Styela clava: one gene and its partners. The main gene of each other region encodes a partner of the protein of the gene in region 2 in a complex. Links are inferred from orthologs where the notes say so. Each region holds a gene or a part of one and is shown on either strand. Other genes may lie near its edges. The genes, in order: splicing factor 3A subunit 3-like, putative ATP-dependent RNA helicase DDX46, splicing factor 3A subunit 2-like and splicing factor 3B subunit 4-like.

What was found.
Region 1: putative ATP-dependent RNA helicase DDX46 (region 2) and splicing factor 3A subunit 3-like share a complex: the UniProt entries of both Homo sapiens proteins name them as parts of the 17S U2 SnRNP complex. The link is inferred for Styela clava from reciprocal best matches to the Homo sapiens genes DDX46 and SF3A3.
Region 3: putative ATP-dependent RNA helicase DDX46 (region 2) and splicing factor 3A subunit 2-like share a complex: the UniProt entries of both Homo sapiens proteins name them as parts of the 17S U2 SnRNP complex. The link is inferred for Styela clava from reciprocal best matches to the Homo sapiens genes DDX46 and SF3A2.
Region 4: putative ATP-dependent RNA helicase DDX46 (region 2) and splicing factor 3B subunit 4-like share a complex: the UniProt entries of both Homo sapiens proteins name them as parts of the 17S U2 SnRNP complex. The link is inferred for Styela clava from reciprocal best matches to the Homo sapiens genes DDX46 and SF3B4.

What each region holds. Positions count from the first base shown.
Region 1 is NC_135256.1:16,760,192-16,767,221, forward strand, and holds splicing factor 3A subunit 3-like, read right to left. Parts: upstream 2,777-7,030; 5' UTR 2,626-2,776; coding exon 1,117-2,625; 3' UTR 925-1,116; downstream 1-924. Other genes in the region: GLIPR1-like protein 1, read right to left, coding at 4,839-4,956, 5,077-5,203, 5,345-5,395, 5,524-5,624, 6,126-6,235, 6,688-6,829, 6,913-7,007. UniProt on the Homo sapiens protein: Component of the 17S U2 SnRNP complex of the spliceosome, a large ribonucleoprotein complex that removes introns from transcribed pre-mRNAs.
Region 2 is NC_135256.1:21,745,406-21,753,474, forward strand, and holds the start of putative ATP-dependent RNA helicase DDX46, read right to left. Parts: upstream 3,166-8,069; 5' UTR 3,062-3,165; coding exon 1-3,061. UniProt on the Homo sapiens protein: Component of the 17S U2 SnRNP complex of the spliceosome, a large ribonucleoprotein complex that removes introns from transcribed pre-mRNAs.
Region 3 is NC_135250.1:29,566,522-29,574,219, reverse strand, and holds the start of splicing factor 3A subunit 2-like, read left to right. Parts: upstream 1-4,428; 5' UTR 4,429-4,533; coding exon 4,534-4,659; intron 4,660-4,945; coding exon 4,946-5,017; intron 5,018-6,385; coding exon 6,386-6,542; intron 6,543-6,908; coding exon 6,909-7,002; intron 7,003-7,698. Other genes in the region: uncharacterized protein LOC120334753, read left to right, coding at 1-79, 613-673, 1,158-1,268, 1,743-1,978. UniProt on the Homo sapiens protein: Component of the 17S U2 SnRNP complex of the spliceosome, a large ribonucleoprotein complex that removes introns from transcribed pre-mRNAs.
Region 4 is NC_135255.1:4,023,988-4,031,372, forward strand, and holds splicing factor 3B subunit 4-like, read left to right. Parts: upstream 1-4,621; 5' UTR 4,622-4,665; coding exon 4,666-5,736; 3' UTR 5,737-6,366; downstream 6,367-7,385. Other genes in the region: translation initiation factor eIF2B subunit beta-like, read left to right, coding at 6,404-6,562, 6,898-7,063. UniProt on the Homo sapiens protein: Component of the 17S U2 SnRNP complex of the spliceosome, a large ribonucleoprotein complex that removes introns from transcribed pre-mRNAs.

The DNA of each region.
Region 1 (7,030 bases), about 5.0 Mb from region 2:
TTGCAAATTAGCATAGTGAGAATGATGATCAATCAAACTGGAACGCATACACTTCATAAGATATTTGAATCTGCGTTTTGCCGATTATGCACATATTTGTTGTTAATAGAAGCAATAAAATGAAGAGTGGCTTTCATGTCATGTGGGCACAAACTACCAACTATGAAGCATATTGATTATAAACCAAACTCAGTTGGTACTGGCAATTGAAAAAAGGAATGAATGCAAGTGGTATTTCATTTGACAGTTTTGAAACAGAACATTTATCAGAAATTACCTAAAAGTATGGTATGAACACAGTAGTGTGTTATGGAGCAGATAAATGGAATATTTTTCTCACCACCATTATCAATCAGTACCCCAGAACATGAAATTAGAAGTAGTAAGAAAATGATTTTCCCCTTATCCATACTAACTGCGTTTTTTTTTGTGCAGAACTGATTGTACAGTTTTGTTGGGTCTATTTCTTCTATGATAGAATTTACAAATTTCTGACATAGCAACAATAAAAGCTTCATTTGCTAATAACTTCATCAGGCATCTTTTGAAATTAGGGCTAAAAAGCCCTTAACATTAGAACTGACAATGGGCCAATGAGGAAGATACTTACAAACATGAATGACAACAAGCTAGCATCAATGAACGTGTCAACTAAAACCAATGTCATATCTCAACGGCGATAAATTACAACTAATCCCATCCTTTCTTAACAATATTATATTTTGGCTATCACCAATTCAATGCTCATTAAATTACCCAATATCAATTTGCTGATATTCAGAAAGAACATGGTAACAGCCTTTCATTTCATGGTGAGCGAAAAATATTTTTTAAATCTCTCCATGTGTACATTGTTGAGTTCGCAATGATAAGTGGAATTCATCAAGAATATTGGCATGTAAAGTGATATCAATTCAGTCAAAGTACCTGACAATACCAGTGTATTTATACCAATCCAGAGAGTTCTATCGAATGCAAATATATAAAAAATATTTCTGATGATTCAAGAATGTTCAAGTTTATTTCTTAATGCTACTCCTGTAAGAACACAGGTTGATTGAGTTTAAGTCCACGAGCTCTTTCGCATTTCCTAAAGTTGATAAACAACACAAATGCTCATAATAAGCCTTGTCTTTTCAGGTCCTCGTATGTCTTTTTTGAGACAACATTTCCAGCAGAGTCTTCATATTCCTCTTCTTGGTCTGGATTCCATCTCTCTGCATTTTTCATTTCTTTAATTTTTGACCACAACGCCATCGCATCTTCAATTTTTGTAACATTGGCAAAATGGGCAGTGTTAGGAATACCAAGGCAACGCATCCCATGTGCATGACGCCATTCAGCAAAATGTCGTTGAAATGCCTTTGGTCCTCTGTAAGTTTGATTTCCGCAAATCTCACAGCTGTAGTTGATATTAAGACCATGGAGTTTATAAAGCCAGTAAGGGATCGGTTTGCCATCCCAGCCAAGAGGAAGATTCTTGGGATTATAAATCACTTCATCCTCATCATCTCCTGAATCACTATCAGACATAACATCATCCTCATCTTCATCACGCTCTGTATCAGTACGTGCTTGTCGACGTTGTACATTATCCCTTGTGGCAGCCCTTTGTTCACTAACAAGCTCAACTAGGTGATATATTTGTGCCTCTACCATGGCAGTTTCTTTATTGCGTTGAGATGTTAAATCCTTCTTTCCAGCTTTAATTTTACTTTTAGAATACAATGATGTTTCAATTTCATCCATCGTTTTTCCTTTCGTGCTGAACAATCTTTCAGCTCTTTGCTCTAAAGTTCCACCACACTTCAGACTCAATGCCATCAGCGCAGACTTCAACCTATCAAGACCTAATGATGCAAGTTCTTCTGCTGATGTGAAAGCACTTAGATCAAGATGAGCTCCAGAATGAGCCATCGCACTTCCAGCCTCTTTACCCCAGCCAGGAAATTCATTTGTTTCCCATTGCAATTCAAACTTTTTCAAAACCTCATCATGCTCGACATTCAAGTCGAGTAAAGGTTTAATGCGTTCAACAAACGATACAAGATACTGCAATAAACCATCAATGTAGTCATGATATTGAGTATTTTTCCTATCTCGTGGAATTTCAAACAAGCGATCAAATGCATCTAAATATCTAACATAAGTTAGTTTTTCAATGCCTTTTATGTTAATATAACGCAAGTGTGATTCATGTAAATCTAAAAAGCGACCATAGGACTCTTCATCAGTAAATTCAACAAGTATTGTTGCTTCATCGCTTGCATTTTCTCTCGCTTGATTCAACTCTTCAAATTCCATAGACATGGGAACAAACACTTCATTTGGATGTTTTTTGTGAAAATCTTTGATTTCCCGTAACCGTTTATAAAACTCACCAAATTCATTTGGACCCGCAATTGCTTGTATTTCAGCTTTTCTTAAACCGTCCTTGTCTTCGTACAGCTCCTGTAATCTAACTGAATTGTCCATAACACGATCTAGCAGATGCCTCATTCTGTGGTCTGAGTTGATTTGTTCACGAACCGCTGATTTCTTATGCATGCTTTCCTTTGTCATAGCATCATATAAACGCTCTTTTTCTTCATGCAGCCTACGCTGTTGTTCTAACGTGGTCTCCATCGCAGATAACGAAAAACCAGGACCATATAAATCAGCAACAGCGAACGTCCCGATAGGTATAACGTTACACAAACACAGCAAGCCAGTCGAATTCGAAAATCTGCTGCTAGCTTCGCAGAGTGAACTGAAGGGTCGTAGTGCTTTTCAATATGAGTAGTTTGTTAGTGATGCCAGATTTTTCGTGTTATATTTGTTTCCATTTATATTATGGCGTGAATTATCAAACAATAACCGTTGAACGAATTTACATTCATTCGTTAATATTTTAAATAAGTTTCTACTTAACAATAAAATTTAAAATTAAATGTTTGCTTGAAAATTGCATAATAATGTGAATGTCGAATCATACAGTTATACTGCCACTTTCGGCAGTATTGTACAGATGATTGGTGATCCAGGTATAGGTAATTTTAAACCTTATCTCGTAACGAAAAGTGGGCATTATAAAGACTTCAATTGCCTCTATTTTATTCACAGTTTTACATATGTACTTGTTTCCATGCCAGATATATATCTAAAACCACTGAATTCTATTGGGCTATATCAGGGGTTCCCAAACCGCGGCCCGCCGAGCTTAAGTGAAATATTGACATAGATTTTGTTTTAACCTTTTTACAACCTAGAAACCGCCAATTGTTATGTCGTTATCCCATTTTAAGCTCGTGTTCATGGTAACAATTCGATTATGCCGATATCTCAGTTATACGTACCGGTATTAGGATTACATAGGGTAGTAATTTAGTTATCAGTCATAGAAGAAAGGTTAGAGATGCCAAATAATAAACTAGACTCTGAAAACAGACTTTCCTCGGATGAATAGCATCGTTCGTGTTTCTTTATTGAAAAGAATCACGCTTCAGAGATTTGTCCACTTTGCCAACGAACTATTCCAATTCTGAAACAATACCACATGAAGCGCCATTATGAGTCAAACAAACATGTTTCGAAAAATGTCAAACGTGAATCCACTGAACCCCAGCTAAACCCTCGCATACTTCCGGGACACTACATACTTCCGGCCCGCGTACATCCTTCCGATTCAAATTTTGGCTCGCGGTCAATAAAGTTTGGAAACCCCTGGGCTATATATATCAATCTTTGTGGAACTCTAAATGCAATGCAATATTATTTAGAAGAATACAGAACTGAGAATGACACTGCATTTATTTAATCATTGGTAATATACAATAAATTGACGATTTAGTAGTTATATTTTATTTAATATATCCGTATAAAAAGAAAAGAAAGATCTCACTATTTTGTACGATATAATAGTGAAATGATTTTAATAGTTTTCGACTCGGTTGTTTCATAAATCTAGTAAGATGGTCAATACCAGCCATTTCGACCAATCAAATCAATTCGTAAAGAAAACATACATTTCTTCAGCAACCCATTAGTAAATGTATTGTATATTTTCCCGATGTTCCGGCCAATCTAACCGGTGTTGTATAACTGTTCCAATTTACACCAGCTTACTTCATCTCCCATCCTGTGTTACAGCTAGACTTTCCAGCCAGGTTTTGGATTAGAATGTTAGAATTTCATTTAGCCCATAACAGAATAATAATCTAAGCAGTCTAGTCCTAATTTAGTGATGTTTATGCATGGTTGATGATACTGATTGGATTCAAAATGTTAAAAATGGGTTCTCTCTTGTATTGGATGCGTTAATAACAGATTCTATCATTTTGAAAATCGTGACAAACTTATAGCCCTGGAAAACATGACCAGGTTCGATTCGCGCGAACCCGTGCGAACATCCTGAATCCAACCACTGAATAATACCATCTTTCAGTTGATAATATGTAAAAAAAAAGTTTACAAAATATCATAATAATAAAATCGATTTTGGTTGAATTTTTATAAATATTAATTCTATTTGTTATAATAAATTCCGGTAAAATAAACAGTAGTTGATTATGAGAATAAATAATTGAGTCGGCCTTTAATAGAAATAGTATAAGCTTGTTCCACAACATAATTATTGATAATTAGAGATTAGTACATATTAAACAGATAAATAAATAAAATTTGTTTCGTTTAACTATGATCTCAAAATTACGATTTTAGTAAAATAAATTGAAGTCCAGATTGAAGGCATCGAATTTAAATAAAATACTGAGTTATTATATATATAATGAAAATATTTTAGAGCTCAAATATTATATATTTTGAAAACTATTCTGATAGTTTAAGGTAATTATGTGTATCTAACGGTACGTTGGAGGAGGAACAGGTGGCCGTGTTTTATCTTGAACATAAGCATCGTTTGCTCTTGCTTCACCTGATCCAGCGTTGGGACGATGCGGTACGTTGCTTTTGTTGCCTCTAAATAAATATGTAATTCTGTAAAAAATATTAGTGAAGTCCAATGTTTTTAATTGCTTCGAACGATAAAGGCTTAAAAAATATTCATATAGGTTTCAGTATTATTTATGACATTTTTACCTTTTCCAGGTATTAAACTTGTCTGAAATATTGTTTTTCTCACGAAAGATAACAAATCCAAGTAGAGCTAACAATAGCAATACAAGAATCACGATAGCCGCAGTGGATCCAGCGCTATTAGAAGAAGCTGTAATAGAAAAATATATTTTTGTTTTGAATGTAGGCATACTATACCAATGGTTTTTAATTGGTTACTTTAACCTCGGTTGCTTTATTCTGTTGAGTTTGGATTTGGACAATATTAGCCTATACAAAATATCACCATTACTTGGTACACTTTCATCAGCTGAATTGGTAATGAAGTCTCTTTCGCTGTTGGCTGAAAAATATAAATTAGTAGAAGTTGTTTAATATGGGAATAAATGAAATCGCACCGCAATCATGCCACGTATGACATTTAAAGCTTAAACATGAAATTTCAACCAAGAACAAAACATATTCACGTACCACACAGTTGATTTCTGCAGTAGTCCTTTTCTCCACACTTGGAGCATGCAGTTCCTTTTTCAAACACGGACATCATTTTACCAGACATATATACATTTCCCCTGTATGAAACGTAGGAGTTAGTTAGTTTATGGTCAAAAGCAAGAGTGGTTAGTTGGGCCATACCTTTGAAAAATGATCGATATTAATTTTGGAATATATTGATCGATTTTGAGGTTTATAACAAAAATGATTTTTTTCCCTAAAAGTCAGGAAAAACTCGATGCAGAACTTTTTAAGTTGTTACAGAATAGCAATCAGTACACAGCTGATCTCAGAAGGCAACATATTGTTTTATTAGATGTTTTGCATTGAAAATGTTTTACACTTCTCACAAAAAATTATATTCTTGTGGATATCTAGCATTGAGAATAGTGAAACTTGTCCATCTTTAACAAAAATATGAACATTTAATTTACACATAAGATAAAGATGCTCATGTTACAATATACCCATTAAGCGAGCGACTGGCTTACTGTGCAAATTACTGGAATGTATAACTTCACAGCTGAAGCAAATGAATCTGTCATTTAACCATTTAACTATTTGGTAACAAAACTTACGCGGTCGCATAATTGCACAAAAACATAGTGCCAGATCCCCAGTCTACTCCAGATAAAGTTTTGCATGAAACCATTGCACATCCGACTTTGAACGTCTTGGCCCAGACAACCTATTGAAATAGGATATACAATAATTAAGTGCTGGAATAAGAACCACGTATTTTTGTATGACAGTCCATTTTCAAGTACGTAATTCAAAAGTTATAATGATGTGAACGTATTAGTTGGCTAACGCTAATCTCCGAAAAATAATGGTGGAGCAATCATTTTCACGTGTTGCGTAGCCTGTTCTATTTCCAAAGTGGATGTGTACCCAATTTAGTCATGTCTGATTCGTCTCAAATGGTGACTTCATCTATATGAGTCAAAGCGAATTTTAGGATTCCGTTATCCGTAATACGTAATGCATTTGCATATCTTCCATTTTAAAGATGAATATAGCAACATTATTATCGCACCAAATATGCCTGGCGAGAGGACGACAACGAGTAGTTATTCTTTTCTATTTGCAGTATTTTAATTCGAGAGTTTTTAATCACGTTACAATGTTTTCATACGATACCTGAGTGTAATGTCCGCACATTTTTCCTGATTGACAAGTTTTTGAGTTGTAATCAAAATAGCTAATTTCACTAAACCATGATTGCACTGAATTTTCTACGTTTTTTATTGTTCCACTTGAAGCATGTATGTTTTCACCGACGCTAAATGTATGCATTCCATTATTAGTGGAAATAAAATATATATATATAACGTAACTTTGGTAAAAAAAATAGCCATGTCGTACCTCCATCCTCGCGAATGTTTCCTATTTTTATTGTGACCAAAGTGACATTGTTTGCAATATTCCTGAGCCAAGTATGCAAGTTCACTGTCCCAAGTCTAAATATATATGAAATGTATTA
Region 2 (8,069 bases):
CTGCAATTGTCTTCGCACTCACTTTGGGAGCTTGAAATCGACCACCTTTCATAATTGCTGTAGCAGCCTGTTGTGTAACATCTTGTGCCTCAGCACCTAAGTTTTTCTTTAGATTGATTCTTGATGCGAGTCGTCTCGCAATTTCCAACTTCTCTATGTTAGATCCAGAAAGAGGTCCTCCAGGTTGAGCGGATTCTCCTCCTGCCCCATGAAGTAGAACAGGACCAACAACATCCTTGACTCTCTTTTTACTATTGAACATGTTTTCGATTTGTTCGTCAATATCTTTCACTGGAGATTCATCATCAGAATCATGCATTCCAAGAGCGGTTTTCTGGAACTGTTTCCGTTCTCTGACAAGCTCATCTTCAGTTTCATCAAATTTAAAACCTTTTCCGGTAAAACCACTATTTTTTGAAACTTCTTTACCTTGTGATTTAAGATCTGTCTTATAATTTAACCACAAAGTTTCTAATTGAGGAGGTACGGGAGCACCACTGAGCTCAAGTGCTTTGATAATATCACCAGCATGACGTGCCTGTTCTTTTATTATGAAAGTGAAAGCGAACCCTTTGTTTCCAGCACGACCTGTCCTGCCACATCTATGAACATAATCTTCATAATGATTCGGGCAGTCATAGTTAACAACCAAGATGAGATTTTTTACATCAAGACCTCTTGCTGCTACGGAGGTTGCAATCAATAATCTTGAAACACCATTTTTGAAGTCACTGATAACAGAGTCCCTGTCATATTGATCAATACCACCATGTAATGCCATACAAGGGTATGAGCTATCCATAAGATCTTTTAATAATGAATCAGCATGTTCTTGCTTATCAACAAATACCAAAACCGATCCCTGTTCTTGGTAGGAACCTAATAGTTCAAGGAGCTTTAAAAATTTTTGTTCTCTGTTTAGAATAACAACAGTTTGTGCAACATCTGAACATACAACACTCCTACCTCCTACTTGTACCTCGATAGGTTTTGCCAATATTCTGCGAGCGAGAGCTTCCATCTGTCGAGGGAAAGTTGCTGAAAACATGACAGTTTGTCTCTCTGGTCTTGCAGAATTAATAATAAACATAACTTGAGGTTCAAAACCCATGTCAAACATTCTATCAGCTTCATCAAGAACCATATAAGTACATCTTCTCATGTTGGTTACTCGTCCACTGTTGGCAGCAAGCATATCAATCATTCGACCGGGAGTGCATATTATGATTTCAGCACCTCGCTTGAGCTCTGCTATCTGTTCAGAGATACCAGTACCTCCATACACACATACAGCATTGAGATGAAGGGGTTTGGTGAACTTTTTGCATTCTTTAGTAATTTGCAAAGCGAGTTCTCTTGTAGGAGTCATGATAACAGCTATTGGTCCTTCTCCATCTAGCAAAGGACGTTGATCCATGATATGCCGGAACATCGGTAGAAGAAAAGCCAATGTTTTGCCACTACCAGTTTTTGCAATCCCAATTAAGTCATGTCCACTCATAATAGCTGGCAATGCTTGGGATTGAATGGCCGTTGGTTTCTCAAACTTAGCCTTTTTAAGAGCATTCAGAACTTTAAATGAAACTCCAACTTGAGCCCAACTTTTAATGGGTTTTGGACAATTCTTTCCTCTGACTTTAACATTTTCAAGTTCCATTCTTCTTTCAGCAACTTCTTCTTCTGTCAATGCAGCAAGTTCAGGAACTTCAACATAGAAACTTTTCCGAAAAGGTTCATATTTTATTTTAGTATGATCAATTACGGTATCCAGTTTTCGATTCCGCTGTTTGCTTTGAAATTTATTAAATGCACTGGATAGTGACTCCTCTTCCTCCTCGGAAGAATATTCCATGGCATCAACATCAGCCTCCATCAATTCTCCTTTCCGTTTTTCAGGTCTGATTTCAATTTCATTTTTGCTTTTTGCTACGGCAACCACTCTGCTAATCTTAGGGCCATCTGTATTCTCCGTCATGGAGGCATTCTTCTTGTACACACTATCACTCTGCGATTCAAGATTCATCATGAATGCATCAAGAGGGTCAACTTCATCCTCTGCCTCCTCTATAGACATGTCCTTTTCATTCGATATTTCATTGGTTTCTTCTTCCATCTTTTCATCCTTTTCTTCTCTATCTGCAGTTTCTTCATTTAAATCATTATCTGCAGTTTCTTCATTTAAATCATCGTCATCATCATCTTCTAAAGTCCAGGTCTTCCTAGGTCCACTATCATCGCCATTAGCACTTTCACTATCGCCATCACCTGCTTTCAAAAGTGCAGATTTTTGTTCTTTGCGCCACATTTCTACTCTATCTCGGCGCTTCTTCATTTCCTCTTCCAATTTTGCTTGCTCAAAGTCACCAGTGTTGAGTTCTTTTGTTTTTTCCGCCTCTTTTTTGTCTGATGAAGATTTAGTAGTCTCTTTCTCTTTAGAACTTTGCCTGGAATGTCGTGAAGGTTTCTTTGACCTTGAATCTCTATTACGTGAACGTGATCTACGTCTTTCTCGAGATGATCGTCTTCTTTTGTCTCGTGACCTTGATCTTCGAGATCGACGATCCCTCGATTTCTCACCTCTCTCTTTCGATCTCCTTTCTTTATTAGTCGACTTTGTTACCGTTGAAGTTTCTGCTTTGGCCTCGGGTGGCTTTTTCTCAGATTTATCAGCTTTTTCAGCATTCGATTCACCATCACTACTGCTACTACTGGAACTCGAACTTTGCTTCCGCCTACGACTAGAGTCAGACTTTTTATCCCGTCTTTCCCTTGACCTTCTTGAAGATGACTTTTTTCCTTTGCTCCTTGACCTGGATCTCGATTTTGATCGACGGGATCGATATGAGCGTCCATGTCGTCTTCTATGACTCGGACTTTCCCTGCGATATTTTCCTCCTTTTCGTGAACTTCTATCCCGAGAATTAGATCGTGATCTAGATCGCTTACGACCATCTTTGCGTTCTTTTTTTGCTGTTTTTTCGATGCTGCTTTTCTCTTCCTTAATTTTAATCTTCAGTTCATCTGTTACATTGTCCAAAACAGATTCGGAATTATCCGACATTGTATCTGTTTTGATGCACTTATAACCTGTAAGCTATTGTTATATGTTTATTTAATTTTGACGACACCCCAAACAGCTTCTAACCTGAAAAAGAAAATAATACAATAATTCAGATGTTCGATGATTAATCATTAATGATATGTAATCATGCGCCAACACTGAGAGATGCAGCAGTTTTTTAAATTTCACGCAAGGCATCAAGGTGTATTTGGTTCTTACAGTTTTATTCGAATTATCAACAATGTAAGGTCTGGAGGTTGGGATTAGAGGTTTCAAAATACTGCTGTAATGTGGGCTTTAACCAAAAAGAGTTCTTGAAAGAGCTGTTTTGAGAAAATGATCAGAATATATATTTTTGAATTCAAACACCTGTAGCTGTAGATTAAGTGTACGGTAACTTTTTCTTGACATACCGTAGTCTAAAGAATTTTGCTTATGGTTACACAATTGCTATGAACCTTTATGGTAGTTCTTTGTGATATTTCAGTGTAAATAGGCTATAACTACGTTTATTTTTAAATACAGACAAAATTTTAAACAATTCCAACATCCGCCCTTTTGTCCTAATCACAGAAACGAGCACTGTGCAATAAGCTGGTATGGGAATGCAAGAATTCGGAAATGGTTAATCGCTAGGGCTGGGAATTTGGTGCATGTGCACTAAACGCCGTAAGCACTTCTAGCTAGTGTGGCACAAACATTTTTGTAAATGATTCCTAACCCCTCCTTGACTACGTCATCCAAAAAGTTATGTCACTACGATGTCACAATCACATCATAGAGCTTGCCAAAGAAAAGCTATGATCGCCCAAAATGGCATATCTGCCGACGATAACGAACTCGCTAGTCTCATTCACTCATGTCTGGATCGTTACGAGAAAATAGCTTTCTTGATTTTGGGGAATGGCAGAATGGTTATACCAATAACCAAAATGACTATAACACAAGTGAGGACATGCATTGGTATGGTAACGTTATAGTCACTTTGGGTTATACCACCCTAACTAGAGGTACTTGACGGCGTTTAGTGAACTAGTCCCGGCAATTTCAGGAAAAAAATTTTAACCATTAACCGCAGCGTGACATTTGACGTAATAAGTTGAAATTTTAGCTTGTTACGTCACGATGGTTACAAAGCAATTCGCGATCTTATCCCGGTATCGCTCGAAATTACTCATAAACCGAGATAGTTTTTATGATCGCTCTGCTGCGAGATTCAGACATATGGTATATCGGGTATTTTAGTAAAGCCTGATTTCGTTATCAAATGTCATTCATGTGACAAATTATCAGTGTTCAATGTGCAAATTCTACTTTAAATATCTTTAAGAAAAACTGCATCAACTGAGCTTTTGTTGGATGACATTCAATAGACGCTTGTGCAATAAAATCGTGAAGAATATATTTCGACCGAAAACTGATTCTGAATTTATGATTGTCAAATTTCCATAATCAGCAATAATGGTACCTCAATTATTTGGGTCTAGTATAGTTTAGTACCACAAGTACTTCCAGTGGGCGTAGCATAACGAATTTTGGGTCTCGTGTAGTTTGGTACCTAACGTACTTCTAGTGGACGTAGCATAACAATTTTTTGATATGTCAATCCTAACCCATCTGATTACGCCATCCAAAAATTACGTCACTACGACATCACAATCACGTCATAGAGCTTGCCAAATATACATGCGATCGCTCGAAATGGCATTGACGCCTACGATAAAGAACTGGCTGACGTTATCGATCTCTCTCCTATCGGAATCGTTGCGACGAGAAAACGAGAGAAATAACTGTTCGATTTCGGGTGCTCGTTTGCGCGTCTTGGATGGCAGTTCGTATAGTTTGAAGGGCTCTATTACTTCACTATGGTGTCTCATAATGCCGTAATTTTTGGATGGTGTAGTCAGGTGGGGGTTAGGATGGCTATGTGAAAAAATTGTCATGCTACGCCCACTAGAAGTATGTTAGGTAAGAAACTACACGAAACCCCGAATTTCGCATATGTTATTCCTAACACCAACCTGACTATGCCATCCGAAAATTACGTCACTACGACGTCACCATCAGTCCATCACGTCATAGGTCTTTCCAAAGTATGATTACGATCGCCCGAAATGGCATCTGCGCCGCCGATAACGAACTCGCTAACGCCGACGATTTCTCTCCTATCGTGATCGTTGTGACGAAAAACGAGAGAATATGTTAGCCATCATGGAATGATGTTGTTCGAAAAGCACAAATATAAAGTGCTATAGTTGCCTACAGACAGGCTTGAAATAGCTGCAAATACAAAGCATGACTAGTAGTGAACACAACAAAATAGATTAGGGCAGTGTGTCTGGAAAAAATACAAAATAGCTATATACAATGGAACCATTTGCCAAAACAATATTCATACAACTACCAATACTGGTAAGCAACATTAAGATGTAAAATAATTTATCAAAACAGTAAAAGCAGGTTCAATTACACACTCACACAATGAAATACCTATGAGCAAAAATAAATAAGTGACAAAAATAAAGTTAAAATATGCTTGTGTCCTAAGTGCCACATAATCCAAGTAAAGTGGTTGAAAATGTGATTAAAAATATATAAATTATTGGCAGTCAAAAGAAAAAAAAAATACCACCAAATAATATCTACTGAGTACAGGAGTAAGGATATAGCTCATAATAATAAAAAAAAATGAGTTATATTAATTTGAAATATTAGTGAGCAATATGTATGCATTGCCTAATTGTAAAACATTGTTCAGTGCTAGGTAGGACATCACTTGTTTGAAATCAAGAAATCCAACATGAATACTTGAGCCTTTGAAATAAGATGACTTTTGTGGCACGCGTGCAATTGAAGAATTTGTGATTGTCTTTAAAATTGTAACCCCATGCCAGCAAAGAGCTGCATAAAGTGAACCCTCTTTAACTTTGATATTGGATATTCTGAAGTGTTGATTTATTTTATGCCATTCTTCATTGTTTTGGACGATGCTGCAAGGTACCGGTACCAGTATGGTATTCACTTTCCAGCTTTCTATAATTTAATCGGGACGGGCATAAATATCTTAATTAAACTTGGACAGCAAATAATCCTTTTCGATTGTCGCTAGTGTCAGTTTTCCGCCATCTAAATCAATGCATTACGATTCAGCAATACCGTACGGCAACAAGTTTTTCCCACACTCCAACAAAAATAACCAACAATATTGTCAACAAATAGCAATAATAATAAACCGGTATTCTTTCTATTTGCTTGATTTTACCTCTGACTACTGGAGGGTCTTACTACTTACTGAATACAGCGCGAAACACCGCAAAGAGCGCAAAACAGCGCGAAACAGCGCAAAAGAGCGCGAAACAGCGCAAAATAGCGCATAACAGCGCAAAACAGAGGAAAACAGCGCGAAACAGAAGGAAACCAGCGCAAAACAGAAGGAAACAGCGCAAAACAGGAGACGCAGTCATTACCACCTCCTGCCACGAAAGAACCACGGCGCCTCTCGCCATGGTTTCATGGCGCTATTTCCGGTATATTTACAAGGTTATGTACCGGATTATAGGTCATCATGCGAAATTTTATCTACCTTTTTGGTGCTCCAGAAGTATGTGCAGCAATATGTCGCACAACCTGAATGCGCTACACACACACACACACATACTATTTTCAGGTTGTGCGCCATCTTGGTGCACATACTTCTGGAGGTCCCTTTTTACCTAACCCTAACCCTAAAGCCAACCATATCCACATGGAAATTGTTCTAAATTATGGTACCCAAAATGTGTCACCAGCGGGGGCAGTCCTGCCATTACAGCATTACTGGCTACATACGTTGGTTTGTGTTTTTAATTTGCTGCCGTGGTAATCGAACTCAAAACAAGGTGCCCCGAACTCATTGCAAAATTTTTTTCTGCTTCACACTGTTTCCCTCTGTTTTGCGCTCTTTCGCGCTGTTTTGCGCTGTTTCCCCACTATTTTGCGCTGTTTCCCTCTGTTTCGCGCTATTTTGCGCTCTTTTGCGGTGTTTCGCGCTCTTTGCGGTGTTTCGCGCTGTATTCAGTAAGTAGTAAGACCGCTACTGGGTTACGTAAATCTACAAGTTTTAGGATTCTCACTACTGCATTACAGACACAGTCAGTAGTACAGACCAAAGATACCCAGTACGGTACCGGTATAAAGATGATTTGTACCGGAGATGTCAGTTAAAATAAATCGTAACCGTTAACTATCTAAAATCGGTTAACCGATTAACCATTCCCAGCAGATCAGTTCCTGTAACAGTGTAACGGCAGAACGGATTAATTTAGTAGCCTACGGTCAGACGGTACCCATAGCCTACCTACAGTTACCGCGATCCTTCATGAAATCTATGGTACCGGTACTGCATACGGTACCGGTATATCTGTATGCTGGTATGTAAGTTATTTCCTATCGTAGTTCGGTATGGTCTGTCTAAAAAAAAGTTCGTAGCTGCACACATCGCAGGTACGAAAGCTTTCAAAAATGGGAGATATGGTAGATTTTATGTGTGTCTGCATTTCTACGCACGACGTTCGATCGTCACATGTACATCAATGCCAGATTAAAATCGTATGACGCCGGTCACATAAAAATAAATTATATAATCTGAAGAATGTCCCATCACTAATTAATTAATAACTCGCTAATTATACGACATAATTCATCCAAAATCAATAGGATTCTGGTCCAATATATGATGAATGCAAAATTGGGGCACATGCAAAATTTGGGGCAGATTTCATCTCGCCTTCGTGAGATATCGCGAGCATCTAACAGACAGACAAACAAATACCTATCAACATACTTACCTATCTAAAGATCGATAAGTAATTAGGCTACATGTCTGTTCAAGCGGACTAGTGTTTTTCCTGATAATTGTGAGTGTCTGAGTGTCCACACAATGAATTTACTGTCATAGTTTTGAGTTTGTTTGTATCCTGGACCTAAACCACTTTATCACCTTTTCAGCAATGCCCAATTTAGCAATCAG
Region 3 (7,698 bases), on a different chromosome or scaffold from region 2:
TAAACTTCAACATGAAGAAATTCTTTCTAAGATGGAAAATGGAATTCTTGTGATAAATACAAAAGGCCAATTGTATCAGGTAAATTAGATTGATCAATTTTATCTTTAATTGCTGTTTGCTTTATACCCATTAATAAAAAACATGTTTAAATACTGGGCATTTGACGTCATCTGCTGCGATATAAAGCAATTTAGGTTAAGATGACATGTTAACTTTATAGTTTATTCGCAGCTCCTCCTCCATTGCAGTTGAAATATTGGGGGCTCCCGAAGTATGCGAACCAAGATGGCGGACATCGGAATGTAATATGTGTACTAGGTCAGGGTTAGGCCATAATTTTAGGTATAAATACTACGGGAGGCTCTTGGCTAGTCTTCGAACTGATAATAGGACTAAAATAAGGAAAATTGAAAAAAAATTATCGTCTAACCCTAACCTGTTACCCATGTTTACGTTCCGATGTCCGCCATCTTGGTTCGCATACTTCGGGAGCACCAAATATTGTATGTCTGTTATTTTTTCTCCCAATTAATTTATTTTTTCTGTTTATTTGGTCAATATTTCATGCTTGACGAAAATTCTTTGCTCCGAATTGAAATTTGAATTTTCAGGTTCGTTTCAAGTTTGGATCTGATGCAGGAGATTTGTCGAATATAAACGGAGGAGAGTCAGGTATGGTAGCAATATTTTTATGGAGAAAGTATATTTATGGATTCATTTTGTTAAATTGTTGTTGAGGTTATTAGTGTTGTTGTTATTGAAAACAAATCGCTCTTCCTGACAAATAATTGTTGTTGTTGTGATTGCTAATATTTTTATTTTTTTGGTTCCTAAATTTCGCTGTTTCTAACGTGTTTCCCCGTCAATATGACAAATTATTTCAATTATCTTTGAATAATAACACTAGGGTTTATTTTGGGAGGATGTCTTTTTTTCATTTATCAAAAACAAAATTACAAAGTGAAGAAGTACGAAATTTTCAAATATACAAAATAAGAAAACCGATATCCTTAAACTTATGAATAACGGAACAAAAAAAAATTGCTCTATTGACTAGGTGGTATTTTAAGGGGAGGGCTTATGTTGAAATAAGCCCATATATTTGAGCATTGCTCTCTTTTTATTATTATTATTGTTATTATGAATCCTTTCACAGGAAAGGGCAAATCTCAAACAAATCCCGCTTTGTTTGGAAGATCATTATCTGTGACTGAAACGATTTCTGAATCTGAACCAGCGGCGAATTTGGCAACACCATTTGGTCCAGGTAAGTCAACAAATTTTGTTCTGCAATTTTTTATGTTAGCTATTTGGTTTATGCAAAGTGACGCTCCATTTTCAAGTATATTATTCATATGTTACGGTTCATTTTAATAATTTACGCCACCAAATGCAACAATGTAATAAAACTAAGATCAGGTAAGTGAACACGTACCACTTCTTCTTGGCAAAACCTTTCATCTTATATTCTGTACGTTTTAAACCTTATCTAAGGTTTTATTTGCGGATTTCATAATCCATTTTTAATCATTTGTTTCAATCATTTTATTGTTATGCTGATTATGGAGTCGAAATAAACTTATACTGCATCTGAATGAATACTATGCCATGGATAGGTGAATTTATTCTGATATCCGCTCGACACAACAAAAAGATAACACACAGGATAGAAATTCAGGAAATTCATAGCTGAAAAAAACTACGGCTTCTCAGAATTTACCACTTGTTATTATTTTCACAGCCTCAAATACCGGTATTCACAGCATTCAAATACCAGCAGGAGTGACCCAAGTGGTGCTGCAACTGGGTGGGGTTGGCCAATTACCGGCAGCCCTTCCAGCTGCGGCCCCAGTTCAGGAGACACGTCAAGGAAGCTTATTTTTAAACCCTGCTAATCCAATCCAGATTAACATGTACGGCGACGGTGAAAATAAAGTCAACATAGATAAGAGCTATATCCGCTCTGTTGAAACATAGATCGAAGTGTCGTATAGTTTTTTTTATCATTGGCCTGTAATCAAAAAAGTAATTTAATTGGAGCATTTTTAAAGTGATTATTTTTAATGAACTTGCGCGCTATGCGCTTTACCCCTGTGACTCCGTTTTTTTAATCTATGATTTAATTTTTGGTTAATTCGTGAAAAATATTCAATATTTATTACACGTTTTACATGCTTATCGTGAAATAAATCTCAAAATAAGGTAGAAACAATTTGAAACTTTATTTTCGGAAACAAGGTGGTTCAGGGTAGTGTATTTCAGAAATTTTTAGGATAGGATAGGATAGGATTTACATATTTATCCCGGGGGGAGAGGAAAGCCGATAAGACGGCTTATCCATATGGCGAACCACGGCCTCTCGTCCGGTTACCATTCCAAGTCGGGTATGGGATTAGTTTTACTGTATTGTTTGTTTTCGGAAGCATGGACTTGGTGGTGGAGGAAGCCGTAACCGACCAGCGGTTACGTGAACCACCCAACGACGGCGAGGAGTCCAGCAATCCTCTCGCACATAACCATCCCTGCAGGGGATTTGAACCTGCGAACCCACGCAGAGTAATTAGAGGTGCGGTGGCGAGCGTATTCCTAACGCTTAGCCCGTTGAGCCACACCGCCGCGCCGTGGGCCGTAGTTTTGTAACTTTTTTGTCCGACCAACGAAAGACAGTCAGAAAATCAGTTATCAGATACAGGCAAACCGCAATCAATCAATTTTATTTCGGTCACTCTGAAAGAAACAAAACAACAACAAACGGACAAACAAAATGCAGAGAACTTGGAGGACGGGTATAACTTAATAAAAAAGTTAAAAACGTACAAGTACGTGCCCGTCCACCAAAAACAGTCAAAAAAACCACAATAAAACAAAATCACGATGTAAAATCGGGCAATACCTTTTAAATCAATTTTAAAATGTGAGACACAACAATCAATCAATCAATCATCATTTATTCGTCAACACAATTTAAACATGGTATGATATATAAAAAAATAATTACAAATACAAGTGGAAACTAACTTAAATTGTGTGACAGGAGTCGCGAGGGACCTCAAGAGGTCTTCAGGCAGCGACACCTAAGTGCTAAGTACAACAGTGCTTTTCTCACAAAAATATGGAATAAAAAACACTCGTTGACGTAAAATGGTGATGCTGTAGTTCAATTTCATTGCAAAAAAAACACAGTGACAAAAAATTGTTACCAAAAAACAAGCTCGTTAAATAGATTGAATGTTCCACAACCGGCCATGCACAAATCATGGATTAGGGTATCGGGTTCCTCTGTCGCCTTCGACCAGTTCTATTTAAAATCATTTCATCCGATCCGACGCCTCCAACATCAATATCGAATGTCCACTCACCACTCAAACGTTAAAGTAGGTGCTTTGTAGGGTTATCAGCATTTGATGCTATTACATTTTCTTAGCACATATAATCAGTGGTGGAATCCAGAGGATTCGTGCGAAGCCGTGATACTCGTGATACTCAACGGCCATCTGTTGTTAGTGGTTTCCATATCAGAGAGAGCCCGTTTTTATATTTATGAATCGTTGCAAATAAACCAACTATCAGTAACAGCAAATTGGGGTTGAATGGTCTTTTATGACTCTACTTTCAAAGTAATTCCTGCTTCTGGGAGTAGAAAGGAAAATGATCATTGTAAATTTATACTGTTAGCTACGCGAGAAAGATATAGTCAGTAATCAGTATGTTAAGTTTATAGTAGATTCTTGCCAAAATAACCAAATTATGCTTGAACGTTAATAACTTGTAAATTATAAATAGATATTTAAATTTCCGTCTTGTTTCTAAAGAGGTTTTAGAGAGCGAGTCGCTTGATGAGCAGGTTCTTTTCTCCTTAGACTATTTTGATTGTCGTGTTTTGCGGACCACAAGGCGCACTTCAACTTAAATTCCTTTTCTCAACAAAAAAAAATTGATCGTGCGCCTTATAAGCCGGTACGTCTAATCGGAAATATATACTACTACAGTCTAATTTATGAATAAAATAATCTAATCACCTTTGATGTATTATTTCCAGTGTGGTTGAATCCTATGTTTGTAGAAAAGTGATTAGATTGGGGATTGTTGTCCTATCGGCTTTCGTCTTCTCCTGGACAAATATTAAATTAAATTTCACCCTTTATTGCAATCAATGGTATTTATCGTATAACAAAGTTATGTCGAATATGGGAATAGTAAATCAGGTATTCGTTCTAAATGCATGGACGCTGAAACACAAGAACACACAGATTGCAGCAAATGATTAAATTATCAAGAATTTTTAATTAGAAAAAAACTTTTTCCCAAGTCTTACAAATATTTGTGAAAAGTCATATGCCACAAAAATCTTTTCATCTATCTCCTAAATCTGGCAAGCGTCGTTTTCGATTCAATTTCATCATGTTTACGTTCCATGCCGCCATCGGGTCTATCGTCGGCGCTCTCGTTTGTGTTCTGCCTCACCGTACCGTGAATCTGTCTTTGGTGTTTCGTATTCAGAATACAGAAAATACACGGTGAAATAAAAGATAATGGACTTTCAACACAGAGCCGGTGGTAAGACAGGTGGAGGTGGTGTGGCCTCGTTCTCTGATGCAAATAGAGATCGCAGAGAAAGGTTGAGACAGTTGGCCTTGGAAACGATTGACTTGAATAAGGTAAATTTCTTATTGTTTCATTTCGTTTTTGAGTATTGAAACCCTGTCGAGTTTATGTGTCTATGATTATCTATATAGGTAATATATATCCCGTACTTTTGCATATTCTGACTTTTGAGATAAATAAACATAATGCCTAATAACTAAAACAATGAAGATAATTCAGTAATTTATTACTCCATTAATGCACTATTGTTTTACAAACAACATGGTCTTATCTTTCTATCAAGGCAGTAAGGAGTCAATTTTGAAAGTGCTGCTATACCAAAGGTATTTTGTTTTTCAGGATCCATATTTTATGAAAAATCATCTTGGCTCGTACGAATGTAAACTTTGTTTAACACTGCACAACAATGAGGTGAGTGATATATTACATATGATTGATTTTGTTATTCCAGTTTTGCACAATCACCAGATCTTTCGTACAAAGCGCTCGCCAATAATGCAAAAATATGACATTTTAGAAAACACCTCTGTCATATTTCAGTATTTCTAAATAACGAATAGTGATTATCCAATTGAGGGTTGAGGTTAGGAAAGATTATTTGAATTTCCAGTGCCATCTGCATTCCTAGCCCTCACTTGAACTGGATAATTAATCCTTTTTATTTTGAGCGTTGCTGGGGGCTTTGTACAAATGAGCTGAATTACGGTAACTATGTGTAACACCACGTTGTTGTTTTCTGATATCTCCCAGCCCTTCAGGTCTCAAGGCAATAAATGTTTTCTCGACTCTCGATTCAAGAATAATTCTCTCTACACTTTGATATTTCAAAATTTGGGATGCTTATTTATCAAGTGTTTTGGAGAGTCGACGTTTATAAACATTTTCAAACCCATCATTTTTATCATAATACAGCCTACAACAATACGCTTACAGATACTTGCAGCTAGTTTTAGCCTAGTCTATAGCAGCTTACCTTGGCACTGATATTTGATTATTGTGACTAAACTAAAGCTCAACGAAAAACATTGACAAATGAAATATACCGTATATGCTTGTTTTACCGCCCGATCTTGAATAAGGGCCCGTATGAATAGCTGCCCGTGTGAACAGAACATAAAAATAAATAAGGGCTGGTGCTTGAATACCCGCTCGATGTAAAAGCTGATTTTTCAGTGGTAGAGAACAATAGGAAATAGAAGCGCTTTTGTCACAACGCTGTTGAATTTTAAGTGCCTGTGTCGCAAAACTTCCTCTTTTGTGGATTTGTACCTGCGGTGCGTAGAAAAAGTCAAAATTCTCGTTATTCTCGTTCAAATCATACTTGAGAAATGGAAATAACAATATATTAATTATTGTAACGATCAAAAATAACAAGCGCCCGTGCTTGAATAGGGGCCGGTTTGAATAGGGGCCCGGTTAGTGAGTTGGTTGAAAAAAATGTGGGCCCGGGCTACAAAACGAGCAAATACTGTACTTTATTTATAACTAATTTTTGGAAACACAACTAAAACCTGACAAAAAACTTGAGTGCCGCGAAAGCGAGGCAATGTTTAAAACCATGCCTGAGTATCTGTTTGGGCAAACAAAGTGCCTGAGTGGCTGCAAAAACTACAATTGTTACGTCATCGTTGACGTTTTGCTAAATGATCATTGTTACGGAAATAAACAAGGAAATCATTGCTCAGCAAACTTTCATTTGTAATTACTGCTACATATTGTGTTGCCATAATTCTGCACATCTCATTACCTGCCTCAATTTTGAAAATTTCCTCTTTCCAGGGAAGTTATCTTGCACATACTCAAGGTAAAAAACATCAAGCAAATCTGGCAAAAAGAGCAGCAAGGGATGCAAAGGAAGCCCCAGCTCAACCTGCTCCAGCCAAACCCACCATTGAAGTCAAAAAGTTTGTTAAAATCGGACGGCCTGGGTATAAAGGTAATTAATTAATAAAGAAATCTGAATAGTTTAATGATCAAGAACGGGGGTAATCTGGAGGAAAGTTCCTCTCCTCAATTGACGTACAATTAAGACATTTTTGAATATACGATGGTTTCAGAATTGCATCGAATATTTTTTCCGAATCGAATAGAATGTTAAATACTTGTAATACTAATCTAACGTAGTTGTATTGACTGTTTTACACTGATGGGTCTTTCAGACACATATTTAGGGGAAATACGTGATCTATCACTCAGATTGTTCGCTGAGTGTTCACACACAGTAAGTAACATTCTTCATCAATAACTCAACTTCAACTACTTGATTATTATTTAATTAATGTTGCATTCTTTTTTTTTTCAGTGACAAAGCAAAGAGTGCCCGATACTGGACAACAAAGTTTATTATTCCAGGTCGATTATCCTGAGATCGTTGATATAATCATACCAAAACACAGGTATGAGCTTCTGTCTGCAAATTAATTTTAATTGTTGTACACAGTGGCGTAGCCAGGGGGGGTGGTTCTGCGGGTTGAACCCCCTCCCACCCCCTTTGAAATGTAAAAAAAAATATCATTTTTCTGTATCATAGATAGCAACTATTCGTATCATAAAATGCTTTTTAGACCCCAAGACTAATAAAAATACGCGTATTCCAGCGTTCGATCGGACCCGCTAGCTGTTTCGGTCTAACTTGGCAAATAAAAATTTCAGCCCCCTTTAACCCCCCTTTGAAAATTTCTGGTTACTCCCCTGGTTGTGCATGAAGTGGGACTATGTGTCGTTGTTACAAATTTTCGATAATCAGTAATTTAAAAATTGCCTTTTATCAATTTAAAGGATTACCGGTAATTGTTTTAAAATTCTCAGCACTCAAAGGTGGAATAAGTAACTAGGAGGGTATTATCATAATATGGGAAGTGATATTTTCCCTGAATTTTGCTGTTTCATTTAAATAAAGGGATATGCTTTTTATTCAATCGGGTTTGCTCCTTTGCATATTCCATCAAACAGTTAACTCACAGTCGACACTGCTAACGGTTTGCAGCTGATACATGCTGATATTTGAGCATTGTCCTCTTGCATTTTGACTATGAATATTCTATATAATCTTTTACGAATTCATAGTTTGGAAGTTGTCATCTATTCAAATC
Region 4 (7,385 bases), on a different chromosome or scaffold from region 2:
AATAGTAAGGATTTTTATTGAATACTCAATATTTCTATAATAATTTTCAAACTGAAAGCTTCAATTAGTGTTCACTCATACACTTCCTTTGTGAAGTTGTGTTTTTAATGTTTTATCTCCCTAATAAATTTAAATTCAAATTTAATTCTCCAATTACTGATGGAGAAAGATCTATAATCGAGAGTTTAATACGGCTTCTGTGACATTAAAAACAATTACTGTTTTACGTTTTTATATATTTGCAACTTTTTGAATAACGCAAAAAAATTCGTTGGCTGACTACCGGCGTGTTGAATATTGAAGGATTTTTATTGTAACATTCGTTTAACGATGCTTTTAAGCCTAACTTTGGGCATATCAGCTACCTGATGTCATTCGCCGAGCGAATTTTGTTTAGGTGACATTGCCATCTCGTATTTACCATCCTGTAGCCATTCTTCTTATTTAGGAACTACGTGTTTTACAGTTAGCTGTTACAGCATGAAATAATGTACACATAATTCTACGTAAACTATCCATGAAATCCATTCCATAAACTATCCATGAAAAGATATTACAGTCAGATCTTCAGGTTGTAAAAAATATTATACAACAGCAACAGCAAGTGATCGAATATCTTTATTATAGCCGTGGTTGAACACCGCTGGTTGTCAATATAGATTTTGCACAGGCTTTTATACATTTTGTGAACGGTAAATTATGTTCTATTAGGGGATAATGTGACTTGGATACGTATTATAAAAGATTCTCTGCGACATAAGTCAATTGTTTCTGTTATGTAGTTTATATGAAGTCGTAGGCCAAATTACATTATTAAAATCGTCGTCCGATAACAATTAAAACTGGAATTTTGAACTAATATTGCCAGAAGACAAATTAGGTTGTTTATAACGATGCGATTGTTACTACCTGGGTAATATATTACGTCGAAATGTTTATAACAAATTAGAAGAAGTTTTGAATCAATTTCAAGGGTTCCGAACATTACTATAAAGATGTCGTCTGAATAACTAATATTCCCTACAGATCTGTCAAATTTCAACCCGTATTTAAATAATACATATGTCATACTTTTGAATTAATAAAAATAAACAACACAATGTCATTCAAACTTTACAATATTCAAATAGTTTTGCAAAAGCGTGATTGGTTTAATTAAATACCGATTTCCGGATGTAAATACTGATGATAAAAGTTTAATTCCATTTATGCTAAGGGGAGCTCTCATACAAACATTGACTTTTCCAAAATAATGCAATAGGGAAACAACATATGAAAAAAAAATAAAAATTATAGAGATATGGCAACTACCATTGACAAAACCAAAAAATCAGGCACTTTTTAAACTTGCCACATTCCTACCAGTGATAGATCTTCTAGTTTTGGACAATAAAAATACCAAATTCAGTCATACAAAATATGTATATTTGGATTTTCGGATTTAAAGTAATCAAAAACATCGGGAAATAGTTTTTTACAAAGTGCCTGAAATTTCACAAGTGCCTGATTTTAGTATTTTGTGCTTGCGGTTGTCAGATTTTATCATTCCTATTAAATTTCAAATAAATCCAAAAAGTACGATGGTTATCTATATGTTGTCAAATGATATTGCTCATTGCATTATTAAAAACGCTGAAATTGTTGTAGAACTAGGAATTTCCTTTAAAAAGCAATGATTAGTAAGTTCTGACTCAAATAATTTAGAAAAATTGTTGCGAAAATATATGGCAACTGTTATCGAAAAAAATAAAAAATCAGGCACTTGCGAAATTTGACCCCTCATCACCAGTCCCAATCGTTTTTGATTTTTACCAAAAAGACGTCATTTCAATCATACAAAAGAGTGTGTATTTTAGTTTTCTGCTTCAAAGTAAGTAAAAACATTGAGAAATAGATTTTTACAAAGTGCCTGAAATTTCACAAGTGCCTGGTTTTAGTATTTTGTGCTTGAGGTTGCCAAATTTTATCATTCATATTCAATTTCAAATAAATCCAGAAAGTACGATGGTTGACCATATGTTGTCAAATGGTATTGCTCATTGCAATATTAAAAACGCTCAAAATGTTGTGAAACAATGAATTTGCGTTAGAAAGCAAAGTATAGTAAGTGCTGATGCAAAGTATTTAGAAAAATTGTTGCGAAAATATATGGCAACTGTTATCGAAAACAATGAAAAATCAGGCACTTGCGAAATTTGACCCCTCATCACCAGTCCCAATCGTTTTTGTTTTTTACCAAAAAGACGTCATTTCAATCATACAAAAGAGTGTATATTTTAGTTTTCTGCTTCAAAGTAAGTAAAAACACCGAGAAATTGGTTTTTATCAAGTGCCTGAAATTTCACTAGTGCCTGGTTTTAGTATTTGTGCTTGTGGTTGCCAGATTTTATCATTCATAATCAATTTTAAATAAATCCAGAAAGTACGATGGTTGACCATATATTGTCAAATGGTATTGCTCATTGCATTATTAAAAACGCTCAAATTGTTGTGGAACAATGAATTTGCGTTAGAAAGCAAAGAATAGTAAGTGCTGACGCAAATAATTGCTAAAAACAATGGCAACTGTCACCAAGAAAAATGAAAAATCAGGCACTTGCGAAATATGACACGTCTCCATCAGTCACAAACGGTATTGTATTTTACCAAAATATTGTAAATTCAACCATACAAAGTGTATATATTTAATTTTCTGCTTTAGAGTAATCAGATACATTGTAAACTAGGTTTTGACCAAGTGCCTGAAATTTCACAAGTGCCTGATTTCTATATTTTGTAATCAATGTTGCCACATTTTACTATTGAAGAATTATTTATACCCTAATAAATTGGAAATAATATTGTTTTATTGCAATATAGGGATGCAAAAAATTATTTAAAGTCTAATTATCTTGTCAGGTAAATTGGAAACCCCAATGACGTACGGTAAAAATAAAAAATATCAAAGTGCCTGAAATGGTGCCTGAAAAAGTGCCTGAATTCGCAAGTGCCTGGTTTTAGCTACAGGAGTGGTGACTCCTCTACGGCCCATGGGCCGGGGCCACGGCCCATCTAATTGGGCCACATGGGCCGTGGCCCATCAAGCTATGGGCCGCGGCCCCATCAGGAAAATTTCAATTATCTTACCAAAATTTTCAATTTTTACAAAACTGTCAATATTCGAACAAAAAAATATACTCCTGTAGTATGTGTACCAGGTTAGGGTTAGGACAAAAAAAAATTCAGATTTTTTACATTATAGTTCTATTATGAGTTCGGGGACTGTCTGTGTTAGCCAAGTGAATAGTCCCTTTACACAACTTGATGGGCCGCGGCCCATAGCCTGATGGGCCGAGGCCCAATTCGATGGGCCGTGGCCCCGGCCCATGGGCCGCAGAGGAGTCACCACTTCCACTCGGTTTTAGGGAGACCCGATAATTTATAAACGTTTAAAAATTGTCAGGAGGTGAAAACACAAGGCGAATTTCCATCAGCTCTGTTAAGCCCAGTAAAGTTTAACATTTAGCCTACTTTGGTTAACCAAATAAACTACATCTGAAGGCGGCATAAATAACATGAGATATTATGATTCAAAACTAATGAAAAATTAAATAGAAAACCATCGTAACATTGATTATTCCATTGATAAACAAACAAAGATTTTGGGTCTGTAACTTTTCATGCGATTTGAAAACCTTCTAGATATGTCCTACACTTTCTGCAGTTTAATATTTCAATTAGCCAAGATACAATTTTGCCTTATTTTCAACTAATTTGTGGAATTACTGTACTGTAGTGGTGATACTGATATTCAGATATTGTAGTTATTAGCCCATCTGTCAAATAATATTATTATATACATGATTCCGTTGTTAACAAATTTAAAATATTTTTCACCAATGTTTATGCATCTAGAATTCTGAAATGATCACCATTCTTAGCACATTTCCATATGCAATTTTGTGTTTTTTAACTGTTGAGCAGTAGGCTATCACTCCCATCTAATATTTTCCAAATTCAAATATAACTTTATTCTAATTCAAAAACTGTTTTTAATTAGCAGGATTAGCCCCCAGTTATAACCACTACTTTCCCAGGTTTGTAATAAATTTAGTATGTGGAATCGGCGAGATTCTGGTTCTTTCAAAAGTAGCGTCTTGAGTATCATCTTTGAAGTGGAGTTTTAAAAAAAGTTTTATGTCATTGTATTCTGCATTGGTCCTATTTATGATTTTTTGTGTTAGGATTCAACTTACCTATGTTGCGAGTATTAAAAAGTATACGCCATAAGTGCTTAAATAACGCCAAACAAAAATGTGATGTGAAAGTACAGAAGTAAATGATGTAACTGCTAACATAACGCCAAACAAAATTTATTTTCATGAAACAACAGTCAGTCTCGAAGAATTCTATACACTATTTGCTGATTTTGCAAGGGACATACCTGCTTAGTTTAAGATTGTGTGTGTTTAATTTTAACTAAACACGTCTATGGGCAACTTCATTGCGCACATCACATTTCTGTTTGGGGTTATTTAATCAGCTTCACTTTTTTGTTTCGTGTGATTTAAGGAGTTACGGCGTTTACTTCGCTGGACCCTATTTTGCCATGTCATAATGTTTCAATTGCTTATGTAATAACAGATAGTTAATTATAATACTATAAATTTTTAAGAATATAGGCCAATGGCGGCAGGTCCTATTTCTGAACGCAATCAAGATGCGACTGTTTATGTCGGCGGACTGGATGATAAAGTAGCAGAGCCTTTGCTGTGGGAATTATTTTTACAAGCAGGTCCTGTCGTCAGCACACATATGCCAAAAGATCGCATTACAGGAGCACATCAGGGGTATGGGTTTGTTGAATTTCTTGGTGAAGATGATGCTGATTATTCAATTAAAATTTTGAACATGATAAAACTTTTTGGCAAACCTATTCGAGTTAACAAAGCTTCTTCTCATCAGAAGAATTTAGATGTTGGTGCAAATCTTTTCATTGGAAATTTAGATCCAGAAATTGATGAAAAATTATTATATGATACCTTTAGTGCCTTTGGTGTCATTCTACAGACCCCTAAAATTATGCGTGATCCAGATACAGGAAATTCGAAGGGATTTGCTTTTATTAACTTTGCCAGCTTTGAAGCATCTGATGCAGCTTTGGAAGCTATGAATGGACAATATTTATGTAATAGGGCTATCACAATTTCGTACGCATTTAAAAAGGATTCTAAAGGTGAGCGTCATGGCAGTGCAGCTGAAAGATTACTGGCAGTTCAGAATCCTCTTTCTCAGGCAGACAGACCACACACAATGTTTGCAGATGCTCCTGTTATCCCACAGCCTGGTAAAGTAAATTCAATTATGGGTAATGCACCAATGCCAATGGGAATGCCACCTCCACCACCAGGTCCACCAAGCATGATGCCTGGTATGCCTCCAATGCCACCTATGGGTATGGCTCCTATGCCTCCTCCTCCAATGCCACCAGGTGGCCTTTCGCAACCTATGGATGGTATGAATTCACAAATGAATATGCCAATGCCTCCATGGGGACCACCACCCCCTATGGGAATGGGCGGACCGCATGGCATGATGGGCGGCCCACCTCGCGGCCCCCCAATGGGTCCTCCTGCTCCATGGGGTGCTCAAGGTCATTTTCCTCCCATGCCACCTCCCGGTGGACATCTTCCCGGGCCACCTATGCGTGGCCCACCACCGCCTCCAAACATGGATGGAGCAAGATGGAACGAATAACTGGAATCATCACTACCAGAAAAAGGAAATCAATCAAGTTGATATCTTTTGAAGACATTGAAGGATGGGAGATGAACAGTACATTTACATTCCATATTAATTTATGGCTGTAATATAGGCAAACCACAGGGTGGATAAATATATTGTTGTATATTGATTGTCTCGATGACAAATATGTTCATCCCAGTTTGCAAACCTGAAGATGTTCCATCTAAACAAAATTTTGTTCTTGTATCACTATACATGAACACTTTTGCAAAGCCAAATCTCTTAATAAGAATAGTTATGTATTATCTGACTCTGATTGATATTCAAGCCAACTTATCGGTATGCGCCTTGCTTTTTACTTTATGAATATTGTCCCATGAAAATAAGTTTGAAATTGAACAGATTGAAGTGAAGTGAAAATATCTTATGACTTTTTAGTTTGTGGATGCCAAGTGTTTATATTGTTATTGTGTGCATATCACAAGTTATACCATAAACATGCACCTAATTGCTAAGACAGATTTGTAATATTATTTTGGTCTTCTTGGAGGTTGTTTATGCTGTCTTTCAAGAAATCTTTCTTCTCAACTGTTTGAATCATACTATTGAGCCATTTCTTATGTGGAAATAATCTTTTTTAGATTGTAATCATAGTGTTATTGCCTAATTTTTACTTAAAATGGCAACTCTAGTGATGGATCAGTTTTTGATGGATTTAAAACAGGATCGCTTCAAATCGTCTTATGAAACTGTATGTAAAACCATAAATTATCTACGCCATGTAATAAGTGCTGCAAGATTCAGCCATGCAAAAGATTTGATGAAAACTATTCAACAGGTGATTAATTTTTATCAGTATTAGGTTTGTAAGAAATTGTGTTTACAGTGAAAGATATTACACAATTTGATCTTGTATTTTTCAAATTTGTTTATTTTCTATTCAATGTTTTACCACTGATGGAAAACCCAACCAATTTTGAATTCTTATTGGAAATTTGGTACTTTCTATTTTGTGCATTCCTAGTAGCAACAATAACATTTCCCCATTACAATGATACTGTGGTAAACTGCAAAAATGCTATTGCGCAAATATAATAATTGAAAAGAGTGTGAAATGCAAGTTGTTATAACGATAAGAGGAAGATACACAAGTATTTCTAATGATTTTCATAGGAGGGGAAAAAAATTATTGCTCTGCAACCGTCTGCTTATGTTGTTGGTAATATGGTTAGAAGAGTCCTCAAAATAATTCGTGAAGAATATGCCAGATTACGAGGATTATCAGAAGAATCGGCGGGAAAGGAATCTCTTCATCGCATGCTAACGACGTCTGCCTCAGGTTTGTCAAATCAAATCCTCACAATCGAGCAATGTCAAATACATACATCAAAGTACTGAAATTGTTAATCACCGGTTCTCAAACTGCAGTTCACAAACCCTGAAAATTTATAGAGGGTTATGTAGATGGCAGTTGAGTTTTATGCATTATTACATTTTAATGTGGAGCATGACTTATACATTGTCTGTTCAATGCTATTATTTGCAACAAACAGACACAGCCTTCACACTAATGTTTAGGATAAAGTGTTTAAAATGAACATGTTTTTAATATCCTTTGTAATACAATTCGAAATTGTAACTGTTAGTCACTTAACTCACTT